Linked DNA regions of Ovis aries. The protein of the gene in region 4 purifies or fractionates together with the protein of the main gene of each other region. This does not show direct contact. Links are inferred from orthologs where the notes say so. Each region holds a gene or a part of one and is shown on either strand. Other genes may lie near its edges.

Region 1 (4,879 bases), on a different chromosome or scaffold from region 4:
GTGATGGACAGGGAGGCCTGGCGTGCTGCGATTCATGGGGTCGAAAAGAGTCCAACACAACTGAGCAACTGAACTGAACTGAAGCAACAAAACACTATGTAGCCATTAAAATAGTGCTCTAGAATGTGAGAAATGTTCGATTTATGTTACTAAGTGAACAAGCTGGTCACAGAACAACAGACACATTAAGAATCTATTTTTGTATTTGATATGTGTTAGTTGCTCAGTCCTGCCTGAACTCTTCGAGATCCCATGGGGAACTCTTTGTGATCCCACAAGGCTCCTCTGTCCATGGATTTCTCCAGGCAAGAATGCTGGAGTGGGTTGCCATTTCCTCCTGCAAGGGATCTTCCCCACCCAGGGACTGAGCCTGTGTCTTCTGCATTGCAGCCAGATTCTTTCCACTTAGCTACCAGGGACACCCTGTTTGATAGCACAATAGAAGGTAAAGCATGGGTTGGCAAACATTTTTTGTAAATGGCCAGACAGTAAATGTTTTAGGCTTTGTGGGCATTCAGCTTTAACGTGGAAGATGTCATAGACAAAATGTCAGTGAATGAGATGGTGGCTATGTTTCAATAAAACATAATTTATGGACCCTGAAATTTGAATTTCAGAATTTCCATGTATCATGAAATATTCTATTTATGTCTCCCCAAGCTTTAAAAAGAGTGTGAAGACCATTCTTTGCCCACTGAGCAGGAAAGCTAGAATAGGGTTGGATTTGCCCTGCAGGCTAGTTTGCCTACCTGGTCATTCCCTGCACCTTGTGTATTTCGTTGTTGCTGTTTCCCAAAACACTTATCACTCTTTAATAGACTAGATAATTTATTTTTAAAATATATTTACTGTTTGTGATCCACACCCCTCTTTTCCCTCTCAGCCTCCAAGAATTCAAGCTCCAGGAGCTGCAAGTTATTTTATTCATTGATGTATCCCAGGCTCCTAGATAAAATGCCTGGGACACGGTAACAGATTATTAAACAGTTGTTGAATGTATTAATCAATTCTAAAAGAAATCATCTCTGACTATTCATGGGAAGGACTGACGGTGAACATGAAAACCCCGATACTTTGGCCACCTGATGCGAAGAAAAGACACTGATGCTGGGAAAGTCTGAGGGCAAGAAAAGGGGAGGGCAGAGGATGAAATGGTTGGAGAGCATCACTGACTCAATGGACATGAGTTTACGCAAACTCCGGGAGATAGGGAAAGACAGAGGAGCCTGGCAGTTCACGGGAGTCACAAACAGTCGACACGACTTAGACGTCTGAACAATAACAACTCGTATAATTAGCAACCTAACATACAAAACAAACCTATAAACCTTCTTCCGTGGACCCCCAACCCTAGGAAAGTCCACAACTTGCGGGGGTCCTGGTGCCCACTTTTCGAAATCCGCCCCTCAACCCCCCAGCCGAGCACACGCAGCTCACTCCCCGTGACGCAGCCTTGACGCCACTAGGAGACGGCCAAGCGGCCGCCCGCTAGGCACAAACACCAATCCCACGTGACCGGCGTCGCACCCGGTGAGCGTCACGTGACTGACTCAGTTTTCCTCCAATCGTTGCACACGTTGTGGGGATTCCATCCAGGACCTGACCTGAGCCTTAAAACACCCTATGCCCCTGCCAGCCAAACTGGCCGGCTCCGTCAGCAAGCTGGGCGGCGGTGTCTCTTAAGAACCTACTAGTAAAGCCGCTTCGGGGAAGACGGGGCCTACAACGTGCTCAGTCCCGGAAGTGACGGCTCCCAGAGGGGCCGGAAGTGGCAGTGGAGGGAGGGAAGATGGCGGAGGTGGTGAGTCCGGTGCCCGGGGCGGGGCGGAGGGAGCCAGGGGAGGTGGGTAGAGCCCGAGGCCCCCCAGTAGCCGACCCTGGCGCCGCGCTGTCTCCCCAGGGGGAGATAATCGAGGGCTGCCGCCTGCCTGTGCTGCGGCGGAACCAGGACAACGAAGATGAGTGGCGTGAGTGACGTCGGGGGGCGGGGCTAAGGAACCTGAGGGCGAGGGGCGGGGGGAGAGTCAACCGAACCCCGGGGAGGGGGTGGGGCCTCTAGAATCCTGGAGCGGGCGGGGCGCAGATACTCAGGAGGGGCGTGGCTTTTAGCCTTTAGAGCTGGTCAGGGCAGGGCTTGAAGAGGGGATGGCACTTGGTGACTAACCGGGGCTTTTGAGAGCGGTTCCAAGTGCTGGGGCTTTAGGGTTCGGGCCTGGTGGTGGAGTTCAGATCGTAGGAGGGTGGAGCTTCATGGCCTGGCCAGTCTAAGGCCCTTGCCTTTGCTGTTCCCACAGCACTCGCTGAGATTCTGAGCGTGAAGGACATCAGTGGCCGGAAGCTTTTCTACGTCCATTACATTGATTGTGAGTTCTGGGCCGGGATGAGGTGGGGCTGGAGGGTTGGGGGGCAGCCTCTGGCACTCCTTCCTGAGCCATACCCACTGCTGCAGTCAACAAACGCCTGGATGAATGGGTGACCCACGAGCGGCTGGACCTGAAGAAGATCCAGTTCCCCAAGAAAGAGGCCAAGACCCCCACTAAGAACGGACTTCCTGGGTCCCGACCCGGCTCTCCAGAGAGAGAGGTGGTGAGTAGGTCCCCTGCTTCACCTCTTCTCTCCTGCCTACTTTTAAAATCTCTTGGCCTCAGTGGCTCCCAGATGGGCGACAGGCTGTGCCCTCCCACCCTGGCTTCAGCTTGTAAAGGATGGGGCCCAGACTGCAGATGTAGCTTCCAGAGTCCAGTGACTGTACCTGTGTCCTTGAGAGGGCAGAGGGTGGGGTTTGATCACTCCATGCCGAGGGGACCCTACTCCCCTTCCCCATCCCACCACCATCCCAGCCCCAGAGGAAGACCCTGGACCTATCTCTACAGCCGGCCTCCGCCCAGGCCAGCGGGAAGACTTTGCCAATCCCGGTTCAGATCACACTCCGCTTCAACCTGCCCAAGGAGCGGGAGGCCATTCCCGGTGGCGAGCCCGACCAGCCGCTCTCCTCCAGCTCCTGCCTGCAGCCCAACCACCGCTCAACGGTACCCTCAGCAATTCCAGGGACCTTGCTTTCCTCTCAGGTCCCACCTTCTCTACCTTCTGACCCACCTGTCCTGGTTTCTCTCTGCAGAAACGGAAGGTGGAGGTGGTTTCACCAGCAACTCCAGTGCCCAGCGAGACAGCCCCGGCCTCAGTTTTCCCCCAGGTGAGTCCCCCAAGCCATCTCTTCTGCCCTCCTACCCTCTGATAGCCCCTTTGGGCTCACCTCACAGCCACTCTTTCTGTCCCTCCACTATCATTTGCAGAATGGATCAGCCCGGAGGGCAGTGGCAGCTCAGCCCGGGCGGAAGCGGAAATCAAATTGTTTGGGCACTGATGAGGTAGGTCTGGGGAGGAGGGAAGGGTGAAACGAAGGGGACATAAGGAGGGCACGGGGTTTAGTGACTACTTTAAAAATGAACAAGGGGTACTGGGCAGAAAGGGTGTTGGAATTAGGGGTGAGGCGGAACTGATTCAGATCCTGCACTAGGTGATCTTTATCACCTTCCAGGTGAAAATCATCCAAGTCTTGGTTTCTTCAGTTGGCAAGTGGGGATTGCAGTACCTCCCCTAGGAGGGTTGCTGTTAGGAAACCTGTGGAAGGGCTGTGAGCTGTGGAGTGTGCTGCTTGCGTTGTCTTCTGTAACCTGGTATCTTTCACGGGCCCTGGGAAGGACTCCCAGGACAGCTCAGATGGAATCCCGTCCGCTCCTCGCATGACTGGGAGCCTGGTATCTGACCGGAGCCACGACGACATCGTCACCCGGATGAAGAACATCGAGTGCATCGAGCTGGGCCGGCACCGCCTCAAGCCCTGGTACTTCTCCCCGTACCCTCAGGAGCTCACCGCGCTGCCCGTCCTCTACCTCTGCGAGTTCTGCCTCAAGTATGGCCGAAGCCTCAAGTGTCTGCAGCGTCACTTGGTATGGGGAGTCCCAGGGGCCACCCTCCTAGCAGCACCCCCTCACCTCCGCCCCTGTGCCTGATCCTCCTCTCTTCCTCAGACCAAGTGTGACCTGCGACATCCTCCTGGCAATGAGATCTACCGCAAGGGCACCATCTCCTTCTTTGAGATCGACGGACGTAAGAACAAGGTCAGGGGCTGAAGGGCAGCGGGAAGGCTTTGGTGCCGGGAGTCTGGGGGAGTTGAGTGAGTAGCTTCTTCCAGCTCCGGAAGACACTGACAGTTACAGGGGACAGATCTCTTCACCGCATTTACTGCATTCTTGCTGTAGGCCGGGTGCTGGTAGATAAAAGTGACCAGGAATTTGACAAAATCTCTGTTCTCTGAGAGCTCACAGGGGAAGACAAACAGGCCAGTAGCAGTTTGGATCCCAGTGTGATATGTTTCATGAGAAAAGTGGGCTGTCAGGATCCCAGGGTGATCAGCAAGGCTTCAAAGAGGAGGTAACCTCTGAACCTTGACACAAGGGTAGGGTGGGTACAGGAATCCCCAGCAGCGGGTTCTGAAGGGCAGGAGTGGACGTACTGGCAGAGCCCAGAGATCCTGCAGGTTCAGTTCTAGACCACTGTGACAAGGTGAGCGTTGAAATAAAGCAGTCACGAGAGTTTTTCTGGTTTCCCAAACTCTATAAAAGTTATATTTATGTTGTGCCATAGTCTATTAAGGGTGCAATAACAGTATCTCAAAAAAATTACAGTGGTAACATCAAAAACCACTGATTACTGTAACAAATACAATAATAATGAATAGGTTTGGAATATTATTGCAAGAATTATGAAAAGGTGACGAGATGTGACATGAGCAAATGCTGTTGGGAAAATGGCACTGATAAACTTAAGGCAGGGTTGCCACAAACCTTTGTTTAAAAAAAAAGCAATCTCTGTGAAA
Region 2 (5,128 bases), on a different chromosome or scaffold from region 4:
TCAGGGTATGCTGCCAGGTTCTTCCATGAATCAGACATGAGTGAGATGAAGAAACAAAGCAAGAAGACCATTTAATTCTTGCCAGTATCTCCTAGAATGGTAAGCCTCAGGCAGGGCGATGCATTAGCTCCTTTTTTCTTACAGTCATTCACAGGTGGGCAGGATCAGATTATATCTCTGTGAGCTAAACAAAGGGCATTTTAATTTAAGAGTCAGGCAGATGGGACACGGTTCTCTGAGGCAGACCATTATATATGCTTATAACAACAAAAGTAGCAAAAACAAGGGTTAAAGTCATAGATCAAGCATGAAGCCAAAATTAACCTTTCCCGGTTATAGGCTCTGGTTTACAAAGGTGAAATCTTTACTTTCTGGCCTCACCATGCAGCTTGTGTTATCTTAGTTCCCCAAGCAGGAATCAAACCTGGGACCCAGAAGTGAAAGTGTCAAGTCCTAACAACTGGACCACCGGAGAATTCCTTGTGAGATCTTTCTTAAGACCCTAGCATCTATCCACCTTGGGTTTCTGGGGTCTGTGAACACAAGAAAACTAAGATGGAAATAAAAGATTCCAGAGTTACATATCTCAAGTTGCTTACTGTTTCCAGAACTGTGTAATCAGACACATTTCACAGTCTATAGAGAATTCTCACATATATACTCATTTGATGCTCATAATACAGAAAATTATGTATAATCATCTGATCACCATTTAACTATTTAAAGACTATCAGTTTAATATCATATCCTTTATTCCTGTGTTTACCCATCATGACAAGAAAATCAGAACTACTGGGATATGCTTCAAGTTCAAACACTTATTCTCAAACATTTCAAATGTTACCTAACCATAGTGGCCTTCCCAGACCACTGTGTATAAAACTGCAACATAATTACTATAAAGCATGATATATTTTTACTGTTTATATATTTTATCATTTTTATAATATATATATTTTTCAATATACAATATACTACTTATTACTTGACTTTCCCCATGAGAATATAAGCTCCAGGAAGGCAAGGATTTTAGTCTTTTATAATTACTACATTCCAATACCTAGAACTCTGCCTGAAACAGCAGGTACTCAATAAACATTTGTTGAACGAAAGCCTATTTTGCATCAGTGAGGAGCAAAGGGCTATGATGTACCTAAGGGCTCCACTGGCAACAATGGTCAAACCCTTCGCTCTACATGGAGAGAACAGGAGTTGGGGAGACCATCTTTTGCAAAGGAGGTGGCTCTCGTGACCCTGGTCTAGGGGAAAGCTATCTATGGAAACAGCCAGGAGTCTGGAACAGGCCTAATCAACACTACCCAAGCCTAGTCTTGCTCTGACCCAGGGATCCTAGTGTGTGGTCTTTGCCCCCCGTCTCTACTTACTAATCCACAGGCCAGTGCTTGCTCAGGCAACAAGAAAGCAGCAAAGTCCTTCAACAGCTGAGGCCAGTCCTGGAGCAGAATTTGCAGGCTCTTGTAGAGATCCACAGCTGTCTGCCTGAGTGCTTGACTCAAACTCATGGATGACCTGAAGAAGTCTTCATACTTGCCAGGGATATGCTGCAGGGCTTCTCGGACCTGTATGAGAGGATTTTCAATCATCCAATCCCTTCTTTGGGCCCTGACAAGAAACAATGGGACCGAGGAAGGAGGAGTTACTGTTAAAGAGCTCCAGATTATCCGTCAGAGGCTACTCCTCTGACAGGTCCTAAGATCTGATGATTAATGGAAGCCACAGGGCCATGAGCAAGGCAGAGCTCTTTTTCTGACAGTGAGGAAAGGGAAAATTTATATTTTCCAGGGACCACAGTGCTACCCACAAAATCAGGTGAACTTTTCTCTAGCTCACAGCCTGGGCCTCCCCTTCCTGGTTTCACCTCCATGTTGAAATAGATAAGGAGTGCTTGGTATATATATTTCAGCATGGTATCATCTGAGGGTAAATAATACGTAAATTAGGAATGTCAGTAAAATATCAGGAGACAAGAAAAACCATGACTATCACTGCTAGGACTCCACTTTGCTGGGAGTATAAAGGAACCAGGTGGTTACGAAAAGAATGAGATAGGGACCGCTGCCACAAACAGGTTGGTTCATGACTCTGAAGATCACTGAGGTCCACTTTCTGGTCAATGTACCAAATGTCTATTTTCTCAAGCCAAGGGCTCAGTTAAAGTCTTTATTAGCCTACCCTCACACTGATGATGGTGGCTATCACCTTTCCTCAGTTTTGTGGCAACAGAGGGGTGGTATCCCTGGGCAGTAACAATAAATCTGTTGATGACTAAACTTGGCGTCCTTGTGGTTCACTCACACAGCTCTTGATATTTCTAGGAAAACAAAGGCAGAAGCATAGAAGGCTGTTGTGCAGTCTAAAAGGCAGACTTCATTTTAAAAACATCTCCCCTGAAGGAAAAGCAGTCTTGTTCAGAGGGGTTGGCAGGAACAGAAAGCAGCATTTGCCTGCCCTGGTCAGATACACCTGAGCAAAGGCCAAATCCTTCCGTTCCTGGAGAGGATCTCACTTGAGGATGCCTTCATCATACAGCAACAGCAGCCTGGAGGTGTCCTTGTTGGCCCGGGCCCAACTGCCCTGCTTGCTGAGAGCTCGATGATTACTCCAGCCCTTTCCAGCAGCTCTGATGCTCTCTCCTTAGCATACAACTGTTTTTCTGTACCTGCAGCCTCTGCTCTCCCCAACCCACCACAGGCACCCCAACTCCATTCAAATCCTATTCAAAATTACATAGGAACTTGGGAGAAAAGCTGCTGGAAAAATGCTATGACAGGTAATGTCTGTCCCCGCCAAGTCAGCTCTGTGGAGTGTTGACGGCATGACTGCATTAACTGGGATAATGAGATGCTTAGCTACTGCATGTTGAACACAGAAGTCTAAGTGTGGTCTGATGCTGGCTCTCAAAGAACTATGTCCTGGTGAGGAACAAGCAGTACTTTCTGAAATAAACATTGCTCTTGGCCTCATACATGACTGATGAATTAAGAACCAGTATAAAACCCTGCATGAACAGAGTACAAATCTAGCAGCTGATGAGAGACAAATTTTTAATTTCTGAGCATCTCTTCTCTGCAGTGGCAGCAGGTTAAACATCTATTTGGGAGTAGGGTGACTGGCAGGCGGGATCCAAAGGATTTCTTCTGGAAACTGGCACCTGTTTTATAAGCCTGTCACTCTGCACATGTCCCTGTGTCAATGAGGCCACCTGAGACCTATCTCCACTCAGGCCTGTCCTACTCACCCTTGATGGTCTTCACTTCTGGAGAGGCCTTCGGGGAGGCACAGGTAACAGATGGCTTCTCGGCAGGGTCTCCAATGGCTTCGTCTATTTTTTCATCCTCTTTCTGCAGGATTTCCATTCTTTCTGCTTCTTCCTGCTTCTCCTTTCTCAGGCTGAGTTCTCTTCTGGGAGTTCTATTCCTCAGACTCACCCTCCTAACTCATGTACTTTTCAGATGTGAACCAAGTCTGTTTCTCCATTGTTTCCTTAAAAACCCCCAAACAGTATGCATGAGGGATACAATGGCTCACCATGGGCTACTTACAGAGTTTTTCAGAAGGGACTGAGGTTAATTAATTGATGACAGAGGTTGGAAGCCAATGGGTTTTTTTCCGGGGATTTTGGAGGTTTTTGTTTGTTTTTTTTTTCTCCTTTTCATTTTCTTGGCCATGCTGTGCAGCTTAAGAGATGTAAGTTCCCTGATCAGGGACTGAAGCCAGGCTCCAGCAGTGAAAGGAAAGTGGCAAGCCCTAATCACTGGACCATCAGGGAATTCCTGAGCAGATGTGTTTTGAAACATCTCCCTGAAGATAACTGTCCTTTGCCAGAGTCCATGCTTATCATCCTTTTTCTATTTTGTGGTTATTTACATTGTGCTCAGGTGATTCAATTTAATGTAAATGAGTTTAAGTCAAATATAATAAGGAACATTTAACTCTTTCCCTCTCCTCTCACAAAAGACAAAAATGATTTTAGGACTATCTCTACTGTAAAAAGCAAGCAGGTAGCCTATCAATAAATTAAATCTATTACTGAATCCACAAAATATTGAAGAATATTGCCCAGCTCTCACCTGGAGTTCCGGGACAGAGGACAGATTCCTCAGAAGCTGATGACACTTCGTCTTCCTGATCCTGGGTAAGGTCGTCAAAGTCCTCTTCTTCCTCTGGCCCATCCTTCTCTTGCAGTTTCTGGCCCAGCTGGTCCCACTGACTGAACATCAACGCTGGATAAGTCTTCAGGCTTCCTTGGGGAAGGAAGCCCCCCTTCCTTGGCGGGCTACCATTTCAGGGTCAGTGGAGGATGAAGTATTCCTTGGGGACCCTTTGCTTACATCTCTTGAATTTCCTACATCAGGAGGCTCATGAGAAGCTGAAAGGATTTTAGGTTGGTGAAAAAGTAATTGTGGTTTCAGACTGTGAATTTTAAATGATTATAAATAGGCTCAAACACACCTTTATTAATCAAAATATGAACCATCACAATCAACACATTTTTGCCAATGACAAATACATTTGTTTATTCTGTAGCATAACAATTCATGCTTCAGTAGTAGAACTCTTGGAAAGCATTTTGTGCCTCCTGCTGGTTATGAAAGCATTTTCCCTGCAAAAAGTTAATGAGATGCTTAAAAAAGTGGCTGTTGGTTGGCGAGAGGTTAGGTGAATATGTGTATGAGGCAAAACTTTATAGCCCAATTTGTTCAGCTTTTGAAGGGTTGGTTGTTCGATGTGCGGTCAGGCATTGTCGTGGAGAATTGGGCCCTGTTGAACTATGGTGACTGCAGGCATTGCAGTTTTTGGTGCATTGTGTTGATTTGATGAGCATACTTCTCAGATGTAACAGTTTCGTTGGGATTCAGAAAGCTGTAGCGGATCAGATGGGCAACAGACCACCAAACACCGTTTGGGTGCAATTTTAGCTCTGGGGAAGTGTTTTGGAGCTTCTTCTCTGTCCAACACTGAGCTGGTCCTCGTCAGCTGTCATATAAAATCCACTTTTCACTACACATCACAGTCCAATCGAGAAATGGTTCATTGTTGTTGCACAGAGTAAGAGAATGCAACACTTCAAAATGACAACCTTTTTTATTTGTGGTCAGTTCATGAG
Region 3 (3,425 bases), on a different chromosome or scaffold from region 4:
TTTAGGCTCTAGAGCTGAGAAAATACAGCAGTTAATGTTGTTCTTGCCATTAACGCAGGCCTCTAATATTCTCCAGATGCCTTGGTCAAAGCACTGGGTTTTCCTGGAGAATGGGCCTTCCAGGAAGTCTCTCCTAATCTTAGAGTTTTGTTTTTTCTTTTTACAATGATTTGACAAATCACGGCTTTTTCCTCTGACCCTCTCTTTAAATTTTCACAGTCCTTCTCTCATGGAACCTGGCGCACATTCTCCGAGGAGCTTGGTTACAAAACAGTAGAAAACCACACACAGTGTTGCAAGCAAACTGTCCTTTTATCCATGACCGCAACTATTATCTCTAGACCTTCTCCTACCTTGAAGTATCCTCTCTGATCCAGGGTTGGTTTCAAAGGTCAAAGCATAGCACTCTTCCTATTCTTAGTTCTGAAATCTTCTTAGTCTGAGAGCTGAGTATTAGCTCCAACTTCTCATCATTCACTCCTCTAAAAAGTCCAGAAAGGCTCAGACAAGTAAAAGTCGTGCACATAACAGGAGATATGCAAAGTACCTCTATTATATCATCCCAGAACTATCTCATACTGAGCTATAGTTAAAGACATTGGAAACACTTATCTTTTAACTATCAATTTCTAATTTCTCCCTTTCCTTGGCTCCTGCAATAGTCTCTCCTGGAAACTCCTACCCAGGGTGTTAATTACCCCATCCTCTGCAAAACAAGAGAACTCTGTGTATATCTTCATCATCTACAGATATTAGATGCTTTAAGATGCTACAGAAAAACCCCATGAACTTTTTTTTTTTTTAACTTTTTCTGTTTACAGGTTTATTCAACATAAAACAACCCCTTTCAACTTTACTGAGGTGGCTGACCACGTCCACGACCAAATCCGCCTCTAAACTGGAATTCAGTTGCTGACCCAGCTCCGGCCTCGGCTTTCTTGTCGGCACCAGGGGGCACGGCGCTTCGTCTGTAGGTGTCTCCGTCGGCTTCCCCTCGCGTGAGTCTTGCAGGTCGCTCTCCCTCCAGACCTTTGGGCCGTGGCCGGCCAGTCTCAGGACGGCTGCGGCGCAGGGTGGCGGGCACGATCTCAGGGGGCAGGTGGAGGTAATCACGGAGATACTGGATGCCCTCGTTGGTGAGGTACCAGTAGAAACGTCTCCAGGCAAACTGTTCCTTCACATAGCCTCGTGACTTGAGAGACTGCATGGCTTTCATGATGTGAAGATTGGGCACATTCTCGTCTGCCAGCTCCGGGTGCTTGGGCATGTGGACATCCTTCTTGGCCACCATCACCCCCTCCTTAAAAAGGAGTTCATAAATGGCAATCCTGTTCTTCTTGGGCATCAACATCGCGACGGTTGCTGTGTCCGGGGCCGGCGCTGGAAAGGCCCCATGAACTTTTTGGCCAACTCGATATTACTGACTCAATGGACATGAGTTTGACCAAACTCTAGGAGATGATGATCAGAGAAGCCTGGCATGCTGCAGTCCATGGGATCTCAAAGAATCACACATGACTTAGCAACTGGACAGCAACAAAAATATTACTTTGTACTGGTACTACCAGAATCGGGTTCTATCAAAATCGGAATCTGTGAGTACATGTAGCCTGTTGGTATTCCCAGGAAGCCAGAGTGAGAGAGAGGAACAATGAGACAGACAAAGAGAGAAAGTCAGGTGAGGTGAGGTGAAGTCGCTCAGTCGTGTCCGACTCTTTGCGACCCTGTGGACTGTAACCTACTAGGCTTCTCCGTCCATGGGATTCTCCAGGCAAGAATACTGGAGTGGATTGCCATTTCCTTCTCCAGGGGATCTTCCCAACCCAGGGATCAAACCCAGGTCTCCCGCATTGGAGGCAGATGCTTTAACCTCTGAGCCACCAGGGAAGGCAGTAAAGGAAGAATCATTATGCAGTTTACAACTGTGGGTAACTGGGGCTGAATTCCAGTGGGAATTGGTTGGGATTTTCTGTGGGGCATTCAACACACACACACACACACACACACACCATATGCATTCAAGTAGCTTTAAAACTGAGACAGTGGTGAGGAGCCTTTAACATGCTTGGTTACTGTCTACCACAGCTCAAGTCAGAGGTGGCCAAAGGAATATGACCTGGGCATCAACCATCTCTGTAAGACCTGACACATCGTTGTCTTTTTTTTAGATTATATATCCCTCCGGGGCACACACCACATCTTGATCATTCACAGCCTTGATACCCAGAACAGTATCTGGTATAATCTGAAAACTAAATGATTGCATGAATAGATGTATAAATAGGGTTAAAAAAGAAATTTCGCTCACGTGAGGTTGGCACTCACCTAACAGCTTTTCTGATCTCTTTGTATCACTTGGCTTGTTAATAACAGTTTTTACCATACCTGCTGAAGCTTTGCCATAGCTGCTACATTTTATCATAGTACATAAAAACTGTAGGGAAAATTTCTAAAGAGATTTGTTTAAGAACAATGAAATTTCTAGATAAAAATTTTTTTTAATTATTTCTCTTCTTATTGCCTGCTTTGTCACCCACTTTTCACTGTAAAGGGCAACAGGAAAAAGTGGTCATGAAATAAAAACAGAAAACGTCTACTCGGTTAGGCAAGATTCCAAAGAAACTAATCATGTTTTCACAAGGGTATTAAACCAGTTTCCTGATTAAATTGTAGTTTGGTACACAAATGAATTTGAAAACTAAACTCAATGGAGATTTAGTGATGTGAGATTGTAATCAAGTCCAGTAATTTCTAAACCAGTGGAGTGAGGGTCCCAGAGCATTAGCTCAAGTTGAGAAGTTGAGAACTCAGACAGGTCTCAACACGTCAGGGTGGCCTGTAGATGGGCTCACCAGAGCACAGCTTTAAGAGGACTGAAGGAACATCTTGGGAAGAATAGTGGGAGATGTTGACAGCCAGCCCCTGGGCCTGAGGCCCTGACCCCACTGGGGAGCAGAAAGTATTCCTTTATCCTCTGACAGGCAATGTACTTGGTGGGGAAAGTGTTCTGCCCAGGGGAGGGGATGGGAGAACCCACGGCTGAGGTCTGAGAAGGAGGACAAATCTGGATACAGCAGGAGACAGAGCACTTGATTGCCTTCCCATGCAGCCCTCAGAAACTCATGCTCAATTCCTAGGGAGAGAAAATCTGTAATAGAGAGGAAACTAAATAAAGAGCTATTATCACTAGAAATGCAGCAAGATACTGAGAAGAGATAGCTCTGTGTCACATGAGGAAAGAAAGAAGCTCACTTCAGAACCAAGAACCTTGCCAATATTGGAGGAATGGAGAGAAGGGATCAGGCTGAGCAACAGGAAGGCAACGTCATGGACTTCTTAGCAGAAGAAGAGGGAGGTCAGGATGGAATGAACTACAGAGAAAAGTAGTAACATCAAGATGAGAGGGTGGAAGCCTTCAGGCCATC
Region 4 (4,097 bases):
CCAGCTGTACCTGACTGGAGGAGTCTGGAGTCTGAATGGCGCAGAGACCATGCAAGACACCATGCAAACCACCATCCATGTCCCTGTCCAGGTGCCAAGGCTGCAGGGGGGAGGAAACACATCTTTGTTACCTCCCCTCTCCTTCTCACTAAATCCAACCCTTCTTCCTTTGCCCAGCATGAAGATGGCCCTGAAGATGATCCACAGCTGGTGGGCATCACTGCCCGGAACATTCCACGACAACCCCAGCTGGCTGCTGAGAACCTGGGCATCAGCCTGGCCACGTTGTTGCTGAACAAAGGAGCCAAGAATATCTTGGATGTTGCACGGCAGCTCAATGAAGCCCACTAATTGGTCTGTGGGGCACAGGTGCCTGCCTTGCTGGTGTCCAGTGCCTACATCCCAGCCCTCTGCTACCTGAGGAGTGGCTACCCCCACAGGATTGAACTGCAGGGGCAGAGACTTCCAGAGACTTGTCTCACCGAGGGGCCTTGCCTCCCCAGGAGGCAAGGAGGGGGCTTCCTCTCTAGAGAAAAAAAAAATCTTAATAAGAAGCCACAGCCTTTGAATGTAACCAGTTCTACTAATAAACCAAATTTAAAGGTGGTTTTTGTTTTTGGTGGAGCTGCAGAAAAGGAAGGACAAACTCAAAACTCTTTATTTATGCCTGATCTCTGAGGCTAGGACCCTTTCAAAGTTCTCCTGAAAAACGCCTTCTGTCAGTAGTTCCCATTTTTTGACAGAATCGAGTGTCTCCCAGGGAACGCCAAGAAAGCCATCATCTTAATAATCTACAATTTGTCGCTCCAGTTAACAGTAAAGCCTTATATCGGTTCCCCTCCCCCACTACCTTTAGGTATCTACAGAGTCGACTCTACAACCCTTTTGCAAAATGAACACAACTCACTTTTCTTTAGGAAAAAACCCTTTAATAAAATTAGTCCATCTGAAACTCCCCCCAATACCTAAAGTACTAGTTTTGGATGGGTTAGCTGCAAAATTCCAGTTCCGAAGCCAAAGGCGGCTCAGTCCAGACGGGGATTAACGGACTTGTGCTGGTATCTAGGTGCTTGGCAGGCGGAATGGACCCGACGGGAAGGGAGTGGGGAGGAGGGGCGGGCCCGGAGGCAGGGCTCCCGCAGACCCCACGCCGCCAGGACCCGCTAGTATTGGAGACGGTCACGCCGCGAAGGGTTTCTTCCAGTACGCGCACAGGCCTGCGAATGAAGATGGAGGGAACGCGGACGTGCGAGGCCCGAGATCCGGCAACAAAAGGGGTCCTGGGACGAAATGAAGCAACCGATTGACTCCGCCGGCGGCGACAATCGAGTCCTGTACTAAGCACCGAGCTGAAGCAGAGCGCACGGCCTCGGCGGCGACCGTCCGCACCGACTCACCTTCCTCCCGCACTCCCCGGCCCGGCTTTCCGGAAGGTGCCGCGGCCTCCCCGCAGCCCATCGGCATTCTGGGGCCAAGCCGGCCGAGTCACGAGCTCGCTCCCGGGGCCGAGCGGCGTTCGAACGCACGCCCTCCGCCGGGCTTCGGCGGGAGCCAGCCGCGGGGGGGAGGGGCGGGCCGGGAAGGGGCGACAGCGCGGCCGCCAGGCCGGGAGCCCGAAGTGGCCCAGCTCTTTCTGTGAGTGCTGTGGTGGCCCTTAAAAGGGCCTTTGTGGTGTAGAGGGGAGGGCTGGGCGGTGGCGGCACGGGCGCCCTCAGTACTCCTGAGAGGCCTGGGTGGCCTTCTTGCCGCCCGCTGGCGCCTTCGGCCCCACGGTGGCGCTGGTCTTCTTAGGCAGCAGCACGGCCTGGATGTTGGGCAGGACGCCTCCCTGGGCGATCGTCACGCCGCCCAGCAGCTTGTTGAGCTCCTCGTCGTTGCGGATGGCCAGCTGCAGGTGGCGGGGGATTATCCGCGTCTTCTTGTTGTCGCGAGCCGCGTTGCCCGCCAGCTCCAGGATCTCGGCGGTGAGGTACTCGAGTACCGCCGCCAGGTAGACCGGCGCGCCGGCGCCCACCCTCTCGGCGTAGTGGCCCTTCCGCAGCAGCCGGTGCACGCGGCCCACGGGAAACTGGAGGCCTGCTCGCGAAGAGCGCGACTTGGCCTTGGCGCGGGCCTTGCCGCCGGTCTTGCCGCGGCCAGACATGCTGTATGAGGTAGAGGAGCGGTGAGGACGGCTAACAAAACACAGGAACAACCACCCGCCGCAGTCTAACGCTTCCGCGCGCGACCACGGGCTGCCCTTATAAGCCCCTCAGGGCACACCCCCGCGCCTTTCTGATTGGCTCTTTTCTCGAATACCCGCCTCTGGTTGGCTGAGGTTAACTCTTCGGTGACGCGCCCCAGTTGAGGGAACGCGTCCGCCGATTGGCCGAATTTGAAAACCCTTTGCCCGGGGAACACGGGAGGAGGCGCAGAGACTACCCGACAGCCAGCCAGTCTCGGCTGTAGCCAATCCAAGTGAAGCGCGCCAGATTTAAACGCTATAGCCCGAGACCAGAACCGGAAGACAAGAAGGGTAGAATCGGAAGCCACCTCAAGAGCGTCTGGGAAGTCTGCGCAAGGCAGGCCTAAGATTTTTAAAGGAAAAGAGTCAACACCACAACTACCTCTGCCTCCCGTCCTAGGTCTGGTCACTCCCTCCTCCTACCTGGCAAAAGAAGAGTGAAAAAGGGAAGGAATGAGACCCCCACTTAAAGTCCAACCCTACCCCAGAGAACAGATAACCCCAATCTTATGGCCCTTTATGCCACCCAAGCAGCAGATTTCACATTTATTCAACATGTTCTGTCTGGTCTGTTCTTTCTGATCACTTCTTGCTAGGAGGCGCCTGATGTGCTTAAAAAAAAAGAAAGAAAGAAAAAAGGATGGGACAGAGATAGGCATCCTCTCCGAGGAAATACCTCCTTCAACCTTCCCCATCCACCCTACAATGCCCACATAGGAAATATACCTATAGGAACAAGAAGAAAAAGACAATACTTTATTGTCACCACTGGGAGCACCTGGCCCCCGGTCTGCTCTTAATCATCAGAATACTTAATTTATAGTCAAATGTCAAGTCACCTTTGAACCTGTGTCTCTATCCCCAGCCAGGGTTCTGTCCCCAAGTCCAGCATTCTCCTTGAGTGTCAGAGTTGTGGGCAATTGCATAAAAGCTACAGTACCCCAACTTAGGAGGCAGCAAAGATGGGATGGAGAGGGAGAGTGGCAAGCTGAAGAAAGCCATAGGCAAAGTCCAATCACCAGTCATTAGAGAGTGAGACAGGCCCACGTGTCAATAATCACAGGGGAAAGGAAATGCTGAGAACAAAATCTGGAGGAAAATGAAGGGTGGGAGAGGCCTGGGCTAGTTGGCAGTCTTGGTCCAGGAGATGTTGGCCTGAGTCAGTAACCCCGGAGGCTGTGAAGCAAAGGGCAATGGATCGGGGCCTCAGACATCATAGAAGAGTCGGACAAGCTGGTACCGAATGGAGAAGGTGACAGCACTACCAACGACCTGCAAGGAGAAACGAACTATAGTAAGAACCCTGGAGAGAGGGAGACAAGGAAGTGTAAACCACACCCCCAATAGCATTGCACCTGTAGCAGCAGCAGGAAGAGGGTGAGGTTTCTCTCATGCATGGGCCCAAAGACTTTAAGTAGCAAGTTGATGAGGGTCATGTTGTTACATTCAGTGAAGGCACCATCCTCATTCTCACTGTGGCGCACCGTCAGTAGCCCAAGGTTCTCTGCTACCTGGAGAGGCCAAAGGTGGAGAGAACTTTTGCTAATACTTATGCTTCAGGAATGGGATCTGCTGAATGCTTGCAAACTCCCCTCAGGTCTGATGTAGGCCTAGGTTTTCCCATTCCCTGAATTCAGAATGGCAGCCTAGAGCCTTACCTCCTTGTTACCCTGTTACCTTTAGAATAAAGGTGCCCAAGAAAGAGAGGCTCTTGGTCTTGAACTTGGAATAGCTCATCTCCAGTTTGCCTGTCTTGGTATTGAGTCTGCAGGGGAAGAGAGCTTCATGTGACTGGGCCACTACACAAAGAACTCTCCTCACTGTGGTTAACTCATAGAAAGAGCACTGAATATAGAGTCAAACACCCTGCGAT

What was found. The genes of interacting proteins can lie anywhere in the genome.
Region 1: the proteins of histone H2AX (region 4) and KAT5 purify together in Homo sapiens (affinity purification with western blotting; 3 studies listed by BioGRID and IntAct, with this or other methods). This does not show direct contact. The link is inferred for Ovis aries from reciprocal best matches to the Homo sapiens genes H2AX and KAT5.
Region 2: the proteins of histone H2AX (region 4) and GON4L purify together in Homo sapiens (affinity purification with mass spectrometry; 3 studies listed by BioGRID and IntAct, counting the BioPlex papers as one, with this or other methods). This does not show direct contact. The link is inferred for Ovis aries from reciprocal best matches to the Homo sapiens genes H2AX and GON4L.
Region 3: the proteins of histone H2AX (region 4) and small ribosomal subunit protein eS10-like purify together in Homo sapiens (co-immunoprecipitation; 3 studies listed by BioGRID and IntAct, counting the BioPlex papers as one, with this or other methods). This does not show direct contact. The link is inferred for Ovis aries from reciprocal best matches to the Homo sapiens genes H2AX and RPS10.

Annotation. Positions count from the first base shown.
Region 1 is NC_056074.1:40,317,577-40,322,455, forward strand, and holds the start of KAT5 (histone acetyltransferase KAT5), read left to right. Parts: upstream 1-1,773; 5' UTR 1,774-1,789; coding exon 1,790-1,967; intron 1,968-2,294; coding exon 2,295-2,363; intron 2,364-2,449; coding exon 2,450-2,586; intron 2,587-2,873; coding exon 2,874-3,029; intron 3,030-3,118; coding exon 3,119-3,193; intron 3,194-3,293; coding exon 3,294-3,368; intron 3,369-3,701; coding exon 3,702-3,950; intron 3,951-4,031; coding exon 4,032-4,121; intron 4,122-4,879. UniProt on the Homo sapiens protein: Catalytic subunit of the NuA4 histone acetyltransferase complex, a multiprotein complex involved in transcriptional activation of select genes principally by acetylation of nucleosomal histones H2A and H4.
Region 2 is NC_056054.1:105,864,177-105,869,304, forward strand, and holds the start of GON4L (GON-4-like protein), read right to left. Parts: upstream 3,107-5,128; 5' UTR 1-3,106. UniProt on the Homo sapiens protein: Has transcriptional repressor activity, probably as part of a complex with YY1, SIN3A and HDAC1. Required for B cell lymphopoiesis.
Region 3 is NC_056060.1:9,438,692-9,442,116, reverse strand, and holds small ribosomal subunit protein eS10-like, read right to left. Parts: upstream 1,392-3,425; 5' UTR 1,352-1,391; coding exon 854-1,351; 3' UTR 807-853; downstream 1-806. UniProt on the Homo sapiens protein: Component of the 40S ribosomal subunit. The ribosome is a large ribonucleoprotein complex responsible for the synthesis of proteins in the cell.
Region 4 is NC_056068.1:29,402,422-29,406,518, forward strand, and holds histone H2AX, read right to left. Parts: upstream 2,217-4,097; 5' UTR 2,144-2,216; coding exon 1,712-2,143; 3' UTR 908-1,711; downstream 1-907. Other genes in the region: HMBS (porphobilinogen deaminase), read left to right, coding at 5-295; DPAGT1 (UDP-N-acetylglucosamine--dolichyl-phosphate N-acetylglucosaminephosphotransferase), read right to left, coding at 3,431-3,496, 3,580-3,735, 3,902-3,989. UniProt on the Homo sapiens protein: Variant histone H2A which replaces conventional H2A in a subset of nucleosomes. Nucleosomes wrap and compact DNA into chromatin, limiting DNA accessibility to the cellular machineries which require DNA as a template.